Arabidopsis thaliana: one gene and its partners. The protein of the gene in region 1 interacts with the protein of each later gene in a biochemical or structural test. Each region holds a gene or a part of one and is shown in the gene's direction. Other genes may lie near its edges. The genes, in order: PUB12, FLS2 and BAK1.

Region 1 (4,964 bases):
AAATTTAATTGGATTTGAATGATACAGTTGAAATTAAATATCAGCCAGGTATAACTTTTCAAATATCTAACATAATTTATGTTATAAGAGAGATCCTAATTGTAGACGTATTATGAATATTCAAATAAGACATCTTGAAAATACTAATCTAAAATATAAAAGTAGTCTCCACCTAACATGAATAAAATAATGGTCAAAAAGATATAAGAGCTATGCTTGTCCAATGGGAAGCATGATTAAGATGTGATTAAGATAACTAATTAGATGTTTAATTGGTAAGTTGCTTTCATGGGTTTGCTTATACGCAATTAGGTGGCTCACAATGAGATGAGAAAATTTCCAAATTAGCTGACATTTTGATTAGAGTTTGATTAGTCATTTAATTAACGACTAATGCCGTAAAATATACTTGTGTTGTTGGAGTACTGGCGAACAAGATCACAAGTTTTTTTCTTTTTTTTTTTCTTTTTAAAAAAAGGCAAAACATAAGTATCACAAGTTCAAATCATAACTCCTTGGTCTATCATCAAATCATTCTCACAACTCACAAGTTTCTCACTTTTCTCAAAAATTGAACGAGCCCATTTAGTTATGGCCCATTGGGCTTTTTTCTAGCCTTTTATCTCGTTTTGATTGGAGCTAGGATAGTCAAACCGTCGTTTGTCAACAAGAAATGTGAACCCATATCTCTTTCTAAGGAATAGTGGGAATATCTCTTACTGCAAAATCCAATTATGTATAAGCAAACATGCATATATTTACAATTTTGTTATTTCATCTTTCTTTGATTTTGTTTGTTTTCTACGTTTAATAAATTTACCATCTTCATTTGACCACAGATGATTTTATGATGTCTTGTATATTATGCCCAAACAAATTTTCCCTCAATATTGATACCAAACTATTGAAATTTTGATAATAAGTTACAAATCAAACATTAAGTAGTACATTCATAATCATAAATCTTAATTTTTATTGATGTTTCTTTGTTTTCTCAAATTATCTCTGAGAATTGAGTAAGCCAAAGAGCAAAACATGTTATTATCTAAACTCGTATAAATATATAGTAGCAACACAAAGATACATAGTTGTGAATCTCCATGTTCATATAGTCCAAATATTTGAAATATACCATACAAATTAGCTTGCTATACGTTAAAATAAAATCTGAATGTTTCAAACACAAATAAACTAAGCTAAAATACTGTTTTTTTTTCTTCTTTGGGATTAGTCTGGCATTAACCACTTAACTAAAAACAATCACCAATTTTTTTCCAAATTTGTTTCTTTTTTTGGTATTTATTGTTTGACCAGTTGACTCATTTTTTGGTATTTCTTGTTTGACCAGTTGACTATTTTATTTTCTTTGGGTTGAAAAAATACAACAACCCAATCCGACCCGAAATTATCGCAATTGATAATGTTGCTGACTTAGCCTAACCGATCTGAGCCGGTTTATGACTCATGACTAATCCATGACTCCTTCGTCTTCGTCTTCACACAGTTGTAGCTTTCATGCCTGAGTCAAAAACCTCGTGACCAAAAAAAAAAAACTGATTACTAGAATAACAGTTCCCTCTGCGTGTTTCCTAAACCAATACAAAAAATGGCGAAATCAGAGAAACACAAATTAGCTCAAACCTTAATCGATTCAATAAACGAGATCGCTTCAATTTCCGATTCCGTTACACCGATGAAGAAGCACTGCGCTAACCTCTCCCGGCGATTGTCGCTTCTTCTTCCTATGTTGGAAGAGATCAGAGACAATCAGGAATCATCTTCGGAAGTAGTGAATGCTTTGTTATCTGTTAAGCAATCGCTTCTTCATGCTAAGGATTTGCTTTCTTTCGTTAGCCATGTTAGCAAAATTTACCTGGTGTGTGAGTATTTCGATTCTAAACATACTTAGATCTGAGTGTAGTTGAAATCGAAATCGAAATATGAATCTGATTGATTCCTGTAGGTGTTGGAGAGAGATCAAGTGATGGTGAAATTTCAGAAAGTGACTTCTCTATTGGAACAAGCTTTAAGTATAATCCCTTATGAGAATCTGGAAATTTCAGATGAACTTAAAGAACAGGTACTACTAAAACCATTATCTGCTCTGCTTTTGTTCTTGTTCATGAAACTTCAGCTTTTCAGATTCATTTCTGGTTGTTGTAGGTGGAGCTTGTTTTAGTTCAGTTAAGAAGATCGTTAGGAAAACGCGGTGGCGATGTGTATGATGATGAGTTGTATAAGGATGTTCTATCTCTTTATAGTGGTAGAGGTAGTGTAATGGAGTCTGATATGGTTAGGAGAGTGGCGGAGAAGCTTCAGTTGATGACTATAACTGACCTTACGCAAGAGTCATTGGCTTTACTTGACATGGTTAGTTCTAGTGGTGGTGATGATCCTGGTGAAAGTTTTGAGAAGATGTCTATGGTTCTTAAGAAGATTAAGGACTTTGTGCAAACTTATAATCCTAACTTGGATGATGCTCCATTGAGACTGAAATCATCGCTTCCGAAGTCGCGAGATGATGATCGAGATATGCTAATTCCGCCTGAAGAGTTCCGTTGTCCAATATCTCTAGAATTGATGACTGATCCAGTTATTGTTTCTTCAGGGCAGGTACTGTAAAAGCATTATTCTCCCTTTACTTGTCTTTTTAATTCATTTTCAATTTTTTTGATTGGTGTCGTTGAAATCCTGTGTAGACTTATGAACGTGAGTGCATTAAGAAGTGGCTTGAAGGAGGACACTTGACGTGTCCAAAGACGCAAGAAACGCTGACAAGCGATATCATGACACCAAACTATGTTCTAAGAAGCCTTATAGCTCAATGGTGTGAGTCCAATGGCATCGAACCTCCAAAGCGTCCCAACATATCTCAACCGAGTAGTAAGGCCTCATCTTCGTCGTCAGCCCCTGATGATGAACATAACAAGATTGAAGAACTTCTACTTAAGCTCACATCGCAACAGCCTGAAGACCGAAGATCTGCTGCAGGAGAAATCCGTCTTCTAGCAAAACAAAACAATCATAACCGAGTCGCCATTGCTGCCTCAGGCGCGATCCCTCTTCTGGTGAATCTCCTCACGATATCTAATGACTCTCGGACTCAAGAACACGCTGTGACATCGATTCTTAACCTCTCGATATGTCAAGAGAACAAAGGGAAGATTGTTTATTCATCTGGAGCAGTTCCAGGTATTGTTCATGTGCTTCAGAAAGGTAGCATGGAAGCTAGAGAAAACGCAGCAGCTACACTTTTCAGCCTCTCGGTTATAGACGAGAACAAAGTGACAATAGGTGCCGCAGGAGCGATCCCGCCTCTTGTGACCTTGCTGAGCGAAGGATCACAGAGAGGCAAAAAAGACGCGGCAACTGCTCTGTTTAATCTCTGCATATTTCAAGGAAACAAAGGAAAAGCTGTGAGAGCCGGTTTAGTTCCCGTGCTAATGAGGTTACTAACAGAACCCGAAAGCGGAATGGTTGATGAATCACTCTCGATATTAGCCATACTATCGAGTCATCCGGACGGGAAATCAGAGGTTGGAGCCGCTGATGCAGTTCCAGTTCTGGTAGATTTTATAAGAAGCGGGTCACCGCGGAACAAAGAAAACTCAGCTGCGGTATTAGTGCACTTGTGTTCATGGAATCAGCAACATTTGATTGAAGCTCAGAAATTAGGGATTATGGATCTTTTAATAGAAATGGCTGAGAATGGTACTGACAGAGGAAAACGCAAAGCGGCACAGTTACTTAACCGCTTTAGCCGTTTTAACGACCAGCAGAAACAACACTCTGGTTTAGGTTTGGAAGATCAAATCTCCCTAATCTGAGAGTTTAGTGTTTAAGGTTTGCTTATACATTTTCACATTTTGCTCACTTTTTTTTCTTTATTAACCAAAAACTCACAAAAAAAACCAAGATTTTGAAACCTGTAAATCACTTTTGTCTGAAATTCACATTTTCTCGGATCTTAATTAAAAGTCACAATTACAAGACTAGTGTTTCTTTTTTTTTTATTAGAGTTTTAAAGAAAAGAAATCTTAAATATATAATTTCCTAATTTGGCCGTGGAGAAGAAGGCAAAATAAATGTACAAAAAAATGCATTTATCTTCAGCTTGAGCAGCAAGTTCTATAGATCTGAGAGCAGCAAGATGCAGAGATTCATGTTTAGCCGCGTCGTGGAACATCAACGTCAGATAAGCCGAGGATTTCTCAGTCTTGTACCATCTCTATCTCCCACTGCTGTTCCTGCTATGTCTCGTTTCTTTCCGAAGATTACTGCTTCTGATTCCACTTCCTCGATTCCCTTTTTTACTCCAGACTTCATCAATCCCAAGAAGGTGAGTGGTTCGACAATTCATTACCCTATTATGATTCATTTGTCGGATTCAATATTACCCTGAGAAGAAATTTTATCAATCTCTTTGTATAATGTTCATAAGTGTGACAATGAATGTGCAGACTCTTGAAGAGTCCCTTAACAACTTAGAAGGCCTAACATGTAACCAAGCCGAAAGAGAGATGTATCTCTTTCCACAGATTAATCAACAACGCCTTCTCAACACCACTGGTTCTCGCTTCGGACAGGTAAAAAAAAAAATTCACCATATGAAAAACTTTTTAACGTGTGTTTTTACATTCACTTTTGGTTTAGGTTCTTGGAACTTGGCAGTTCAGATGCACAATTCTTCCGGCGAGAGTGAATCGTGTGAGAGAGGTCCACGAGACTTCCAACAACGAAAAGAAACAACAAAAACAAAAAAGTTCCGTCAACGAAAAGAAACCAAAAAAAAAAAAAAAGAGTTCCATCAGCGATATCCCAAGAAGAACAAAGTTTCAGAAACATCATCGAGGAAGAATTAATAAAGGAGTATCTTCTCAGGGGTATATTTGTAGTAGATATGCTCTTCAAACACTTGAACCAGCTTGGATCACTTCTAGACAAATAGAAGCAGGACGACGAGC
Region 2 (7,051 bases), on another chromosome or scaffold:
TCCTAAGCCGTATTTAATAACATTGTTATATTATGTAAAGATATGATATATATCGTTAAGTAATATTATGTAGTGAAAATCCGTCACAAATCATAATAACTTGTAGTGATCAAACTTCTTGTATATAATCTACTTTGTTCTCGCGAGCACCTTAATCAATCATCCCATTTAAAAAATTTCTTTTTGCTATTAACATCTTAAATGTTAAATCTATCATTGAGCAATGTAACAGTTCTGTGTGAAGAAACAAGGAATCACTTACTTCTACATTGTCTCTTTACAAAGGAAATTTGGCACATGATAATGCTTCGGTTTGGGCAATCTCCTTATATCTTTGCAGACTTGTCTATTACCATAGGTAATCATATAAAAGTTATTATATATGAACAATGTTCCTATGGTAATAGAAATTCACATTTTATTAAAAAAACTGATACGAATAATTCAAAGAAATAAAATAACTTTTATATGATTGTCCATAAGATATAGTCAAAACGCAAAAGACTTTGCTCTAAGAAATATTAAAAAGAAAAACAACAAGACGAGGATTATTTCTTTTCAATAATTAAAACATTAGTATAAATACAATCACATGCTTAATGTAATAATGTGACAGTTTGGCCGAGTGGTCTAAGGCGCCAGATTTAGGCTCTGGTCCGAAAGGGCGTGGGTTCAAATCCCACAGCTGTCAATTTGTTTTTTTCTTTGACTCCTTTGTTCATCTTTATTTTAAAATCAATATAAACCCTTTTCGGACATTCTAAATATTTTGACCCAACCTAATGATATTCATTATTTGTCTAACGGGTCAACTTTCAAGTCTTCAAGTAAACATGATATGGAATTATATGGGTCAACTCCAAGTAAGAACAGTGCATGCATCTTGAAGACAAAATTGATTTTTTTTTTTGTTTTTAATTAATGGAAATTTTGAAATACTAATGGGTCAAGATGAGGTTGTCCAAATCAACTGATATCATATATGACCAGATTCCTCAATAGTCATTAGTCAATACAAAATCCATAATCTTTTTTAAAAATATAATCTTTTTATTTTAAATCGCCTATTTTTTTCCATTCATTTGTCCAATGTGAAAAGCCATAAATCATATATTAAGAAGTTGTGAATTGTGATCATAGGAGTAATATTTCTATCTGAACAAAAATTGAATTTTGTTTTGCTTTTTGTTGAAAGATAAATAAAATGTTTGGCAGATTGTTTGTACAGAACACAACTTGTTGATAAAACAAATTCCATCAAGACAGCTAATGAGCTTTTGATAGTCAGAGCTTTGAAGACGTGTTAATGAATTAAACTGATTAGACCTAAAACCAAATATTTAGAAAGAAAAAAATATGATAATTGTTATGTTATTTAATCAATAGTCAAATACTATGTTGAGTACCAATCATTTCAGTTTCAACGATTGCTACTCTTTTGACCAATAACAAAAAGGTTTTTATTTTTCATTTCTCAAACTCCATTTTTGTTTGTTTTTAGCATAAAAACAGCTAGAATGTGAGTTTCATATGTATTATATACTATAAGAAATCATATAAATTAACGACTAGAACATATTGTTTTCATTCTAGTGGTATATCTGAGTTTGACTAGAACGTTTGGAGGCAGATTAAAGTGATTTCGCCTTGTCAAAACTACTTTGTATATGTTATCAATCAATCGCTCAAAACTAAATCGGAAAAAAACTACATAAATAAGATATGGAAAATGATACTAACACAAACTAGTAAGTAAGTAGTCACTACATATTCTGGTCCCATGAATATGGCTTACATAGTACATACATTGTGAGATTAAATGAATATGATATATAATACAAGCATATAAGCATGTGCATGACTATGAAGTGGGAATACATTTAGTGCCTTTATATGCAACTTGACAGAATTACCAATTATGTGAATAGTGAAACTTATATTGCGTCTTGGCCTTTTCACATCCGTGACATGATCCCTCAAATCTATATCTTCTTGCGGCATATGCTTATATATAAACATATGACTTCGTCTATAGATTTATATCCAGATAATTAATTCTCTCATAATATCTTCTCCACAATTTCAACTCTTCTAAAGTCTAAACCATGAAGTTACTCTCAAAGACCTTTTTGATATTAACTCTCACCTTCTTCTTCTTTGGCATTGCACTAGCGAAACAGAGCTTTGAACCAGAGATCGAAGCTTTGAAATCCTTCAAGAATGGTATTTCCAACGACCCTTTAGGAGTATTATCAGATTGGACCATCATCGGTTCGTTACGACACTGTAATTGGACCGGAATCACCTGCGATAGTACCGGACATGTAGTCTCGGTTTCCTTGCTGGAGAAGCAACTTGAAGGTGTTCTGTCTCCAGCCATAGCGAATCTCACCTATCTCCAGGTTCTTGATCTCACTTCAAATAGTTTTACCGGCAAAATACCGGCTGAAATAGGAAAGTTAACCGAGCTTAACCAGCTTATTCTGTACCTAAACTATTTCTCTGGTTCGATTCCTTCTGGAATCTGGGAGCTTAAGAATATTTTCTATCTTGATCTTAGAAATAATTTGTTGTCCGGTGATGTTCCTGAGGAAATCTGCAAAACCAGTTCTTTGGTATTGATTGGGTTTGATTACAACAACTTAACCGGGAAAATACCAGAATGCTTAGGAGATTTGGTTCATCTCCAAATGTTTGTAGCAGCTGGTAACCATTTAACTGGTTCGATTCCGGTATCAATTGGTACTCTGGCTAATTTAACGGATTTAGACCTGAGTGGTAACCAGTTAACCGGAAAAATACCGAGAGATTTTGGAAATCTCTTGAACTTACAGTCTCTCGTTTTAACTGAAAACTTGTTGGAAGGAGATATACCAGCTGAGATCGGAAACTGCTCGAGCTTGGTCCAACTTGAGCTTTACGATAACCAGTTAACCGGGAAAATACCAGCTGAATTAGGGAATTTGGTTCAGCTGCAAGCACTCCGGATATACAAGAACAAACTTACTTCTTCAATTCCATCTTCATTGTTCCGGTTAACTCAGTTAACCCATTTGGGGTTATCAGAAAACCATTTGGTTGGACCGATATCAGAAGAAATCGGTTTTCTTGAGTCACTTGAAGTCCTCACACTTCATTCCAACAACTTCACAGGAGAGTTTCCACAGTCCATCACAAACTTGAGGAACTTGACAGTCCTAACGGTGGGGTTCAATAATATTTCCGGTGAGCTCCCGGCGGATCTAGGGCTTCTTACAAACCTTCGGAACCTTTCAGCGCACGACAATCTTCTTACCGGACCAATACCTTCCAGCATAAGTAACTGCACCGGTCTTAAACTCCTGGACCTGTCTCACAACCAAATGACTGGCGAGATCCCGCGGGGTTTCGGAAGGATGAATCTTACGTTCATTTCTATTGGGAGGAATCATTTCACCGGTGAAATTCCAGATGATATCTTCAACTGTTCAAACTTGGAAACTCTTAGTGTGGCAGATAACAACTTAACAGGAACTCTCAAGCCATTAATTGGGAAGCTTCAAAAACTCAGGATTTTGCAAGTTTCATATAACTCTCTCACTGGACCGATTCCTCGAGAAATCGGGAATCTGAAAGATTTGAATATCTTGTACCTTCACTCTAATGGTTTCACAGGGAGAATCCCGAGAGAGATGTCGAATCTCACTCTCCTCCAGGGGCTAAGGATGTATTCAAATGATCTTGAAGGTCCAATTCCTGAAGAAATGTTTGATATGAAGCTACTCTCAGTTCTTGATCTTTCCAACAACAAATTCTCAGGTCAAATTCCTGCCTTGTTCTCCAAGCTTGAATCGCTTACCTACTTGAGTCTTCAAGGAAACAAATTCAACGGGTCTATCCCTGCAAGCCTTAAGTCGCTTTCGCTTCTCAACACATTCGATATCTCCGACAATCTTCTCACTGGAACCATCCCTGGAGAGCTGTTAGCTTCTTTGAAAAACATGCAGCTTTACCTCAACTTCTCAAACAACTTGTTGACTGGAACCATCCCAAAGGAGCTTGGAAAGCTTGAAATGGTTCAAGAAATCGACCTTTCAAACAATCTCTTTTCTGGGTCTATTCCAAGATCTTTACAGGCCTGCAAAAATGTGTTCACACTGGATTTTTCGCAGAACAATCTCTCGGGTCATATACCAGATGAAGTCTTCCAAGGCATGGATATGATCATAAGCTTGAACCTTTCAAGGAACAGTTTCTCTGGAGAAATCCCTCAGAGCTTCGGGAACATGACGCATTTGGTCTCCTTGGATCTCTCTAGTAACAATCTCACTGGTGAAATTCCAGAGAGTCTCGCCAATCTTTCGACTCTGAAACATCTCAAACTAGCTTCAAACAACCTCAAAGGCCATGTTCCTGAATCCGGGGTGTTCAAAAACATCAACGCCTCTGATCTAATGGGAAACACAGATCTCTGTGGTAGCAAGAAGCCTCTCAAGCCATGTACGATCAAGCAGAAGTCGAGCCACTTCTCGAAGAGAACCAGAGTCATCCTGATTATTCTTGGATCAGCCGCGGCTCTTCTTCTTGTCCTGCTTCTTGTTCTGATTCTAACCTGTTGCAAGAAAAAAGAAAAAAAGATTGAAAATTCATCAGAGTCCTCATTACCGGATTTGGATTCAGCTCTGAAACTGAAGAGATTTGAACCAAAAGAGTTGGAGCAAGCAACAGATTCATTCAACAGTGCCAACATCATTGGCTCAAGCAGCTTAAGCACAGTGTACAAAGGTCAGCTAGAAGATGGGACAGTGATTGCAGTAAAAGTATTGAATCTAAAGGAATTCTCTGCAGAATCAGACAAGTGGTTCTACACAGAAGCTAAAACATTGAGCCAACTAAAACATCGAAACCTGGTGAAGATCTTAGGGTTTGCGTGGGAAAGCGGCAAAACGAAAGCTTTAGTGCTTCCATTTATGGAGAATGGAAACTTGGAGGACACCATTCACGGCTCTGCAGCACCGATTGGGTCGCTTTTAGAAAAAATCGATCTTTGTGTTCATATCGCAAGCGGAATCGATTATCTTCATTCTGGATATGGTTTTCCCATCGTTCATTGTGATCTGAAGCCAGCTAATATACTCCTTGACAGTGACCGCGTTGCTCACGTAAGCGATTTTGGAACTGCTCGGATTCTAGGTTTCCGCGAAGATGGAAGCACCACAGCTTCAACATCAGCCTTCGAGGGTACAATTGGATACTTAGCTCCAGGTAAATTACTCACAACACTTAATTTTCAAAACCCTAATTATGCCATCGACTTACTTGAAATACACTCTTATTTTTCATGAACAGAGTTTGCTTATATGAGGAAAGTGACAACAAAAGCCGATGTATTCAGCTTCGGGATCATAATGATGGAGCTGATGACGAAACAGAGACCAACTTCGTTGAATGATGAAGATTCACAAGACATGACTTTGCGCCAATTGGTGGAGAAATCGATTGGAAATGGAAGAAAAGGGATGGTTAGGGTTCTTGATATGGAACTCGGGGACTCTATTGTTTCTCTGAAACAGGAAGAGGCTATTGAAGACTTTCTGAAGCTTTGTTTGTTCTGTACAAGCTCTAGACCTGAAGATCGACCTGATATGAACGAGATTCTTACACATCTGATGAAACTTAGAGGCAAAGCGAATTCATTTCGAGAAGATCGTAACGAGGATCGAGAAGTTTAGCAGCAAAGCTTTTTTGATGACATTTTTTCGACTTTGCCAAACTCTGTTACGAAGGTTGAATACTTTGGACGTAAAACGTTCTGATTTTGCTTTTCGTTATGTATTTCTGTTTTATATAAGGTTGAAATTTGGTTTTGATGAACTTTTTCATATACAAATGCATTAGGCTACACATGGATACTATAGTTTCTTATTGCAGGCAGATCAGGAATAAGGTTCGTCAAGTTTTTGTCATCATGATGGAGATGACGTTTGTCCCTTCCATTTAATCATGAAACAATACCACTGCTAGTATCGGACAATAGGCAATCTCACGACGGTTATCGAGAACACAGAAGATGACTCAAAGATCAATGCCACACAAGACAATTGTGTAGACTTGCCAAGTAATAGCTGTGAAAACTAGAGTCATTACATTTTCATCTCCCCGGGTAATGTTTTCCATTCTCGGCTAGCGAACCGCAGAAATTGCAAGACTAGACTGATAGAAAACCATGTCAGTGACTGTTGAGAATGAATTCTTCTTTAAAACTTTGCAATTTCATATAATTCTTTAACATCACTATACATTTTTGGACGAACTACATATTGTTTGCTTAATCCTTACAAAACAAAATCTAAAGAATATAGCACAAAAAATTGAAAACTTTAAATCGGAGACAATTACTTCGCTTTTGTATGGCAATAGAGAAAAGTAGTTGAGCGATGTTGGTCTATGCGGTTCTTGGTTCTGCCTTTGGTGAACGTCCTTTGAAGCTGAATGTGCACAAGAAAATGATCAACAAAACTAACTTGTCTTTTTACTTATTTTCCTTTGCTTTGATGCGACCACAATGAAGAAACACAAAGAACAAACACTTGTTTTTGCCTGTAAATGACAGAAATCAACAAAGTTTTCGTTAGATTTTTTATGAGTGGATGGCCAATGAGAATGATTTGGGGACTCACGGTTTCTAACGATGAATCTGAAGAAGAACGAATGAGAAGCAATAGAGTGGAAGAGCGATGGCAATCCCAGCTATGAAGTTAGAGAAGAGTCGCTTGTTGTCTTTTGTGGGTACGAAAACCGTCTTGAGTGTGTTGGTTAGTTCAAAGAGACGGTGAGATACCTGGCGAACAAGAACAAATAGAGATGTTTCAGAAAGCTTGCTAATAGAAAATACGGGGAGAGAAGAAGTTACGGTTTCTTACAAGGACGTATATAGCAGTTGTCAGCATGAAATTGAGCATAGGGTATCCCGGAATAATAGAGAGAAGCCATTTTGGTTGCCCGTCAGGCATGTTTGATCTGAAAATTGGTGTCTTTGATTTAACAAATACGCTTCCAGGAAAAGATTAAG
Region 3 (7,255 bases), on another chromosome or scaffold:
AATTGAATTCTCTTAATACTACTACTGTTCAGAACCAATCAACAACAAACAAAGCAAAAAAAAAGTAAACTTTATCAATGTGTTAAAGAATTCAAAACTTTGATATAACCTTGGATCCCAAAATGAGAGCGCCGCGTTCGAGAAAGAGCGTGAAATTGCTGGTGAGGTTGAAGCTTCCAGAAAGCCACGTGCCCTCCGGGACATTGAGCTGGGCCCCACCCTCCGCCGCAAAACCTTCAAGGTGCCTTACGGCGCGGCGGAAAGCGGCCGTGTTCGACGTCTTTCCGTCTCCAACACCGCCGAAATCGGTAATCGACATAACGATCCGGTTAGGGAACGGGTCGTGATTGAAAAACCCGGAGCAGGTAACAGGGTCGTCATATTGAGAAGTCGGGATCCAGAGAGGGAGAAAAGAATTGGAAGAGATTTGGAGAGAGAGAATCGCTAAGACGGTGAAAACAAGGAGAAGAAACGCCCACGAAGGTCTTGTAATGGCACTCAATACTGTGGTCGGATTCTTCTCCGGTTCCATTGTTTTTTGGAAACAGAGAGAAAACTCAAAAGCCCATGAAGCAAGCTCTGAGATAAAATTACAAACAGAAGAATGCTAAAGTGGGACTTTTAGATGGTTGGAGAGAATTATGCATGTGTGTGGCAATGATTAGCGTAGTGTGGTGGTGACAACAAACAAAGGTGGAGGAAGATAGAAAGTCGATAGATACCTTACCTCGAAAATTCGTCTCTCTCTTTGATTATTTTTGTATATATAAATAGAAAAAAGTAGTAGTAAATAAGAAAATTGGATACAGACACAGATATGTCGTGAAAAGGGCACTAAAATATTGGATGGTGCATGTGAATCGTCAAAAAGTGGCAAGGAGAAAGTGAAAGTCTTCACGAATTATATTTTGGTTTATATATAAAAGAAGAAGAAAGAAGAAGAAAGAAGAAGAAAGAAGATGGATGATACACAATCGGTCACGGACTCACGGGTAGGAAGGATTGTGAGGCGTTACAATCTCGTCAGACTTCCAAGTCTTAATCTGATGGGCCTTTAAATAGCCTACTGTACTGAGTTGTTTGTTGTGTTTTTGTTTTGTTTTTTAATGCCAAACTAAGGTATATGTCCGTATTTTATTGCTGGCAACATATACTCTGTCCGTTTGTGTTTTTTGTTTTTTATTTCATTTTTCCTCAAAATTACTTTTGTTCTTTTAAAAATATTAAATGGCATAAATAGTTAAACTATCAACCAGTAAATTATATATGATACAATAATGTTTTTTGTTTTGTTTAATTCATTGGACCAGATGGATTATTCAGCTTACATTTTTCAATATTGAATTGTAATTTTTTAGAGCTATAATCTTTAAAAAAGAATAAAAAAATCAAAAAAGCTTTTGCTCATCTTTGGAATAAACGAACTTGCTATTAAGACCAAGCCCAATAAACAATAAAAGCCCGAAAAAATAGAGCTGGGCCGGTAATTAGGATTATGATGATGGTATATAACTCACTATCAACTATCATGAGTTCATGACCATCATGGTTTATATCTAATGTCATATGATGGATGATGATAAGGTGGGCGAACATAACAAACATGATTCGGAATGAAGTCGTGCGTCTTTGACTTTGACTAGCTCTAAAAAAGCTTTGAAAATGCTCGTCCACGTCATCATCCTCTTTGTCGTTTTCTCAATCTTAAATGTCATTTTTTTAATATAGTTTTCACAGTACAACAACTCAACCCAGTAAAATCCCTTCTTTAAGCAAAGAAAATAATTAAAATTCGTCTTCCTTCCTTGCTCTCGGCGATAACTTGGTTTCTCTCCTCTCTCTCATCTCTCTTTGTTTCGACCCTTTTTTAGTATATTTCCAGGAAATATCTTCTTCCTCCTTTCGTTTTCTCTATCTCAGTTTTCTCTCTTCTCAGCATTAAGTAGTCAACGGTCAGCGATCTCGGCGTTCCTTCTAATCGGAAAAGTCTAGCTTCAGTTTCTTTTTTTTTTGCTTTTTTGGTTTCCGCGATTAATCGATTTGGGTATTTTGATTTTCTCTTCAAATTAAGTCAACGGGTGGATACGCGTTGAGAGGGCTTTTCTCGTATTCTGCTTCTAATTTCATCATCTTGGTATTACCTTGTGTGGGTGGTAGCTTAATCGAAGGATTCGAGATCCCTTTTATCAGGGGTTTTAACAATGATGGATTTTCTCTGATGAGGGATAGTTCTAGGGTTTGTTTTTAATCTCTTGAGGATAAAATGGAACGAAGATTAATGATCCCTTGCTTCTTTTGGTTGATTCTCGTTTTGGATTTGGTTCTCAGAGTCTCGGGCAACGCCGAAGGTTTCCCCTTTCTCTCTCATTCTCTTTCAATTTTTCATTCTTTCCAATTAAATTAGTTTCCCTTGTTGAGTATTTTGATTAGTATAGGCTTATGAGAGCTTGTTCTCACCTAAAGAAGGCATTTTTAACTTATCTGTTACTTGTTTTGCTGTATTGACTTGAGTTATATTTGGGTTACATCTGTTTCGACTGATTCCAGTGATTATGTATCCTCGTGACACTTGATGATTGCAAAGTTTGATTTTTTCTTCTTCTTTGGTTAATTGTAGGTGATGCTCTAAGTGCACTGAAAAACAGTTTAGCCGACCCTAATAAGGTGCTTCAAAGTTGGGATGCTACTCTTGTTACTCCATGTACATGGTTTCATGTTACTTGCAATAGCGACAATAGTGTTACACGTGTGTAAGTTTCTTTCTATATCTAGCCAAGATGATTCGGATTTTCGCATCTACTGAGAATTTACTTGAACTTCATTTTTGCTCAGTGACCTTGGGAATGCAAATCTATCTGGACAGCTCGTAATGCAACTTGGTCAGCTTCCAAACTTGCAGTACTTGTAAGTCATCTTTTCTTTAAAAGGCCGTCTTTTAACTTTTGGTGTATGTGGGATGTTAAAAATGTTACAATGTTCCAAATAACTGCATAATTTTGCATTATCATAGATTATTAGTTATATATCTTTCCGATCTTATGGTGAAATTAATATTAAAGAATGGTAATGACAGGGAGCTTTATAGCAATAACATTACTGGGACAATCCCAGAACAGCTTGGAAATCTGACGGAATTGGTGAGCTTGGATCTTTACTTGAACAATTTAAGCGGGCCTATTCCATCAACTCTCGGCCGACTTAAGAAACTCCGTTTCTTGTATGCACCATATTCTACTCTCTTCTTTTAATACGTTTTTAATAAGCAGCCTAATTATTGTCTTTAGTTTCCTTGATCGTGTTTGTCTTCCTGTAAAAGCTATTCGTGCAACGTGTTACATTTGTAGGAGTCAGAAAGTAGTGTCGCCAAATAGATGCTACGTTATTTTACTAGATGAAAAGGTGTTCTCTTGGAGACTAGGATGTTGTATAATATGGTCTATTTTAATTATGAGCTTTCGTAAAAGGAATCAGAACTCTATCCTTGTGTTCGCTTAATTTTACTGGAACAACACAAAGTTCCGAATTCAGGTGACTGTCTTTTTGGTTGTTCTCGTGTGTCACCTTTGTGATCTTCAATGGTAGTTATTGACTCGCTTATTTTGTATGAAATCGATTTGGTTCTGGAAGAATGAAATTCTATCAAAGATAACAATATTCTTCTGCCTTAGAATTTAAGCGCTAAACCCTATTGTTACTTATTAATTTGTGAGTGCTCTGTAAATCTAGAGGGTGAACGCATCTAAAGTAGTAAGTCGCGCTAATTAGGAAAATATACTTGATTTTTCAATCAGCTTCATATCTGTTGGATGAGATTTTAGAACAACCCCTACTTTTGAAAGTCTTTTAAAGTTTGTATTTTTGCTCTCACTATAAACTCATTACTGGTTAATGTATTTCCACTTATTCATGACATTCTCTTTTTGTATTGGTGGTTAGGCGTCTTAATAACAATAGCTTATCTGGAGAAATTCCAAGGTCTTTGACTGCTGTCCTGACGCTACAAGTTCTGTGAGTGTAACTTTATCTCTCTCAAATTCCTCTGTGTTCATGTTTCTGATTATTGTTTGGCCGATCTTGGCATTAAGTCAGAAAATGATATCATCTTATAATGCAGGGATCTCTCAAACAATCCTCTCACCGGAGATATTCCTGTTAATGGTTCCTTTTCACTTTTCACTCCAATCAGGTTTTGCATCCTGCTCCTAGTTTAAATCTTGGTGGAGAGGTCAGAATGTTTGATTAATTATTTGAAATTTTGCAGTTTTGCCAACACCAAGTTGACTCCCCTTCCTGCATCTCCACCGCCTCCTATCTCTCCTACACCGCCATCACCTGCAGGTTTTTTTTTGTATATGTCTTTGTCTTTGAAATGTTATTCAACTGAATAAGTAAACATTTTAAGCAGATCCATTAAGTATTAAGAAAGAGATTGTTCATTTCATTCTTGCAGGGAGTAATAGAATTACTGGAGCGATTGCGGGAGGAGTTGCTGCAGGTGCTGCACTTCTATTTGCTGTTCCGGCCATTGCACTAGCTTGGTGGCGAAGGAAAAAGCCGCAGGACCACTTCTTTGATGTACCAGGTTAGCTAAACTTGCTTTACCTGTTTCCTCATTAACACTTCTCTTGCTGATTTTTTTTTATTACCGTCTTTTTGCAGCTGAAGAGGACCCAGAAGTTCATTTAGGACAACTGAAGAGGTTTTCATTGCGTGAACTACAAGTTGCTTCGGATAATTTTAGCAACAAGAACATATTGGGTAGAGGTGGTTTTGGTAAAGTTTATAAAGGACGGTTAGCTGATGGTACTTTAGTGGCCGTTAAAAGGCTAAAAGAGGAGCGCACCCAAGGTGGCGAACTGCAGTTCCAGACAGAGGTTGAGATGATTAGTATGGCGGTTCACAGAAACTTGCTTCGGCTTCGTGGATTTTGCATGACTCCAACCGAAAGATTGCTTGTTTATCCCTACATGGCTAATGGAAGTGTTGCCTCCTGTTTAAGAGGTATCTCTCATCTTGTGCCTTTTTCTTTGACTGCAATATTTCCGTCCAATGGTTGCCTTTTTATCCGTAGTAATCTTATATTTTATTTTCTCCTTAGAACGTCCCGAGTCCCAGCCACCACTTGATTGGCCAAAGAGACAGCGTATTGCGTTGGGATCTGCAAGAGGGCTTGCGTATTTACATGATCATTGCGACCCAAAGATTATTCATCGAGATGTGAAAGCTGCAAATATTTTGTTGGATGAAGAGTTTGAAGCCGTGGTTGGGGATTTTGGACTTGCAAAACTCATGGACTACAAAGACACACATGTGACAACCGCAGTGCGTGGGACAATTGGTCATATAGCCCCTGAGTACCTTTCCACTGGAAAATCATCAGAGAAAACCGATGTCTTTGGGTATGGAGTCATGCTTCTTGAGCTTATCACTGGACAAAGGGCTTTTGATCTTGCTCGCCTCGCGAATGATGATGATGTCATGTTACTAGACTGGGTATATACATATATGAGTTTCCCACTTGTATAGTTCATTATCTGTGTTACCTCTATTTGTGTTAATTATTCATTTCGACAGGTGAAAGGGTTGTTAAAAGAGAAGAAATTGGAAGCACTAGTAGATGTTGATCTTCAGGGTAATTACAAAGACGAAGAAGTGGAGCAGCTAATCCAAGTGGCTTTACTCTGCACTCAGAGTTCACCAATGGAAAGACCCAAAATGTCTGAAGTTGTAAGAATGCTTGAAGGAGATGGTTTAGCTGAGAGATGGGAAGAGTGGCAAAAGGAGGAAATGTTCAGACAAGATTTCAACTACCCAACCCACCATCCAGCCGTGTCTGGCTGGATCATTGGCGATTCCACTTCCCAGATCGAAAACGAATACCCCTCGGGTCCAAGATAAGATTCGAAACACGAATGTTTTTTCTGTATTTTGTTTTTCTCTGTATTTATTGAGGGTTTTAGCTTCTGCTGCTCCATATTATTGGTTCTTAAGTGAATACATGAGGATCAGATTGGGTTTGTAAGTGTTATATGATGAAAAAGGATTTGAATGTTGTTGAAAGCTAAAACCCAAACATGTCTTAAGCTCACCACTTGAGGATTGTTGCGCACTTGATTCACAAATATGTATCCCATCAATTATTCTTTTTCACCGTGCGTCAGGTTTCTTTTCTTACCGGTTTCTGTGTTATCATGTGATTTCTAGATCCGGAGATTGTTCAGAAGAAAAGGAGACTTTTGCCTTTAAATAGCAATTGGACAAGAAAATGCAACCAAAGTATATTACTTTTTGATGGATATCTGAACCACACAAGCAATAAGTATACAACTGCATATTACGAGAGTACACAATTTTTACATAGTAGCCTAGAAGATTCATGATTCTTCATATAACAAGAGTAGAGAACTTATTATAAATACAAAAATCGTAAGTAGATGTGGTCTAGCCTAATTAATACTCCGACAATTTTGACGGACTTCACCTTGAGAGCCAAGTTTAACATCAAGATTGCTCATCTTGCGCATGGCCTGTTGGAAATCAAAGAAGAACTTGGCTTGGTTAAGTGCATAGCCGTTAACAAGATTCCTGGTCCTTGGTGTGTTGAATAAAGTTTGGTCTGAAAAGAGGACTCCTGATTTCATCTGAAGCGCATTGAAGTAAGCATTGTCGAAATCGTTGCGCGTAGCATCAAAGGGTTGCTCTGCATTGTCACCCGCGCTGCATGTTTTAGAGAGAGTGTTTGCAAAAGTCGAGTCTAATGAAGAGTCTGGGACGGTAAGTCTAGCCTTGAAGGAGGAGCATCGTGCAACTCCTAGGGTATGTGCTCCTATATATATATCCCCACAAATTATTAAGTTAAAACCAAATTAGATTATCACACACAATACACATATATTAGTTCTTTAAAGAACTGACCAGAGAGAGCAACAACATCTTGTGGAGTGAAACCACGTTGGCCAAAAGTTTGAATGAGTTGAGAGGCATTAAGAAAAGGTGAAGGTAGATTTCTTGTATCTTCTATCTTTGATCTTTTACCATCAAACCTTCCTTTCGGTATGTCATAATATGGACCACCAGCCTAACAATTTCAATTACTAATTATGTTAAGTACACTAATTAATCATATTTACTATAATCACATAAAGGTAATTCAAAAACGTGATCAAATAAATTACCCAAAAGACAGCATCTCTAGCAGCCATGGCAACTATATCTGCGCATGATACAACTCCTGGACATCTATTCTCGATTTTCT

The links.
Region 2: of the proteins of PUB12 (region 1) and FLS2, one has a biochemical effect on the other in vitro, tested with the Arabidopsis thaliana proteins (one study listed by BioGRID).
Region 3: of the proteins of PUB12 (region 1) and BAK1, one has a biochemical effect on the other in vitro, tested with the Arabidopsis thaliana proteins (one study listed by BioGRID).

Annotation. Positions count from the first base shown.
Region 1 is NC_003071.7:12,367,251-12,372,214, reverse strand, and holds PUB12 (armadillo/beta-catenin repeat protein), read left to right. Parts: upstream 1-1,794; 5' UTR 1,795-1,826; coding exon 1,827-1,880; intron 1,881-1,963; coding exon 1,964-2,080; intron 2,081-2,163; coding exon 2,164-2,613; intron 2,614-2,699; coding exon 2,700-3,827; 3' UTR 3,828-3,995; downstream 3,996-4,964. Other genes in the region: AT2G28815 (50S ribosomal protein L16), read left to right, coding at 4,151-4,339, 4,461-4,586, 4,654-4,964. UniProt on the Arabidopsis thaliana protein: Functions as an E3 ubiquitin ligase.
Region 2 is NC_003076.8:18,789,697-18,796,747, forward strand, and holds FLS2 (Leucine-rich receptor-like protein kinase family protein), read left to right. Parts: upstream 1-1,878; 5' UTR 1,879-2,105; coding exon 2,106-5,244; intron 5,245-5,328; coding exon 5,329-5,711; 3' UTR 5,712-6,212; downstream 6,213-7,051. Other genes in the region: RWA1 (O-acetyltransferase family protein), read right to left, coding at 6,665-6,820, 6,903-6,999.
Region 3 is NC_003075.7:16,085,297-16,092,551, reverse strand, and holds BAK1 (BRI1-associated receptor kinase), read left to right. Parts: upstream 1-1,774; 5' UTR 1,775-2,263; coding exon 2,264-2,348; intron 2,349-2,617; coding exon 2,618-2,750; intron 2,751-2,832; coding exon 2,833-2,904; intron 2,905-3,073; coding exon 3,074-3,217; intron 3,218-3,344; coding exon 3,345-3,485; intron 3,486-3,936; coding exon 3,937-4,008; intron 4,009-4,114; coding exon 4,115-4,186; intron 4,187-4,261; coding exon 4,262-4,338; intron 4,339-4,450; coding exon 4,451-4,582; intron 4,583-4,659; coding exon 4,660-5,001; intron 5,002-5,098; coding exon 5,099-5,493; intron 5,494-5,574; coding exon 5,575-5,898; 3' UTR 5,899-6,241; downstream 6,242-7,255. Other genes in the region: AT4G33440 (Pectin lyase-like superfamily protein), read right to left, coding at 110-532; AT4G33420 (Peroxidase superfamily protein), read right to left, coding at 6,447-6,826, 6,916-7,078, 7,176-7,255.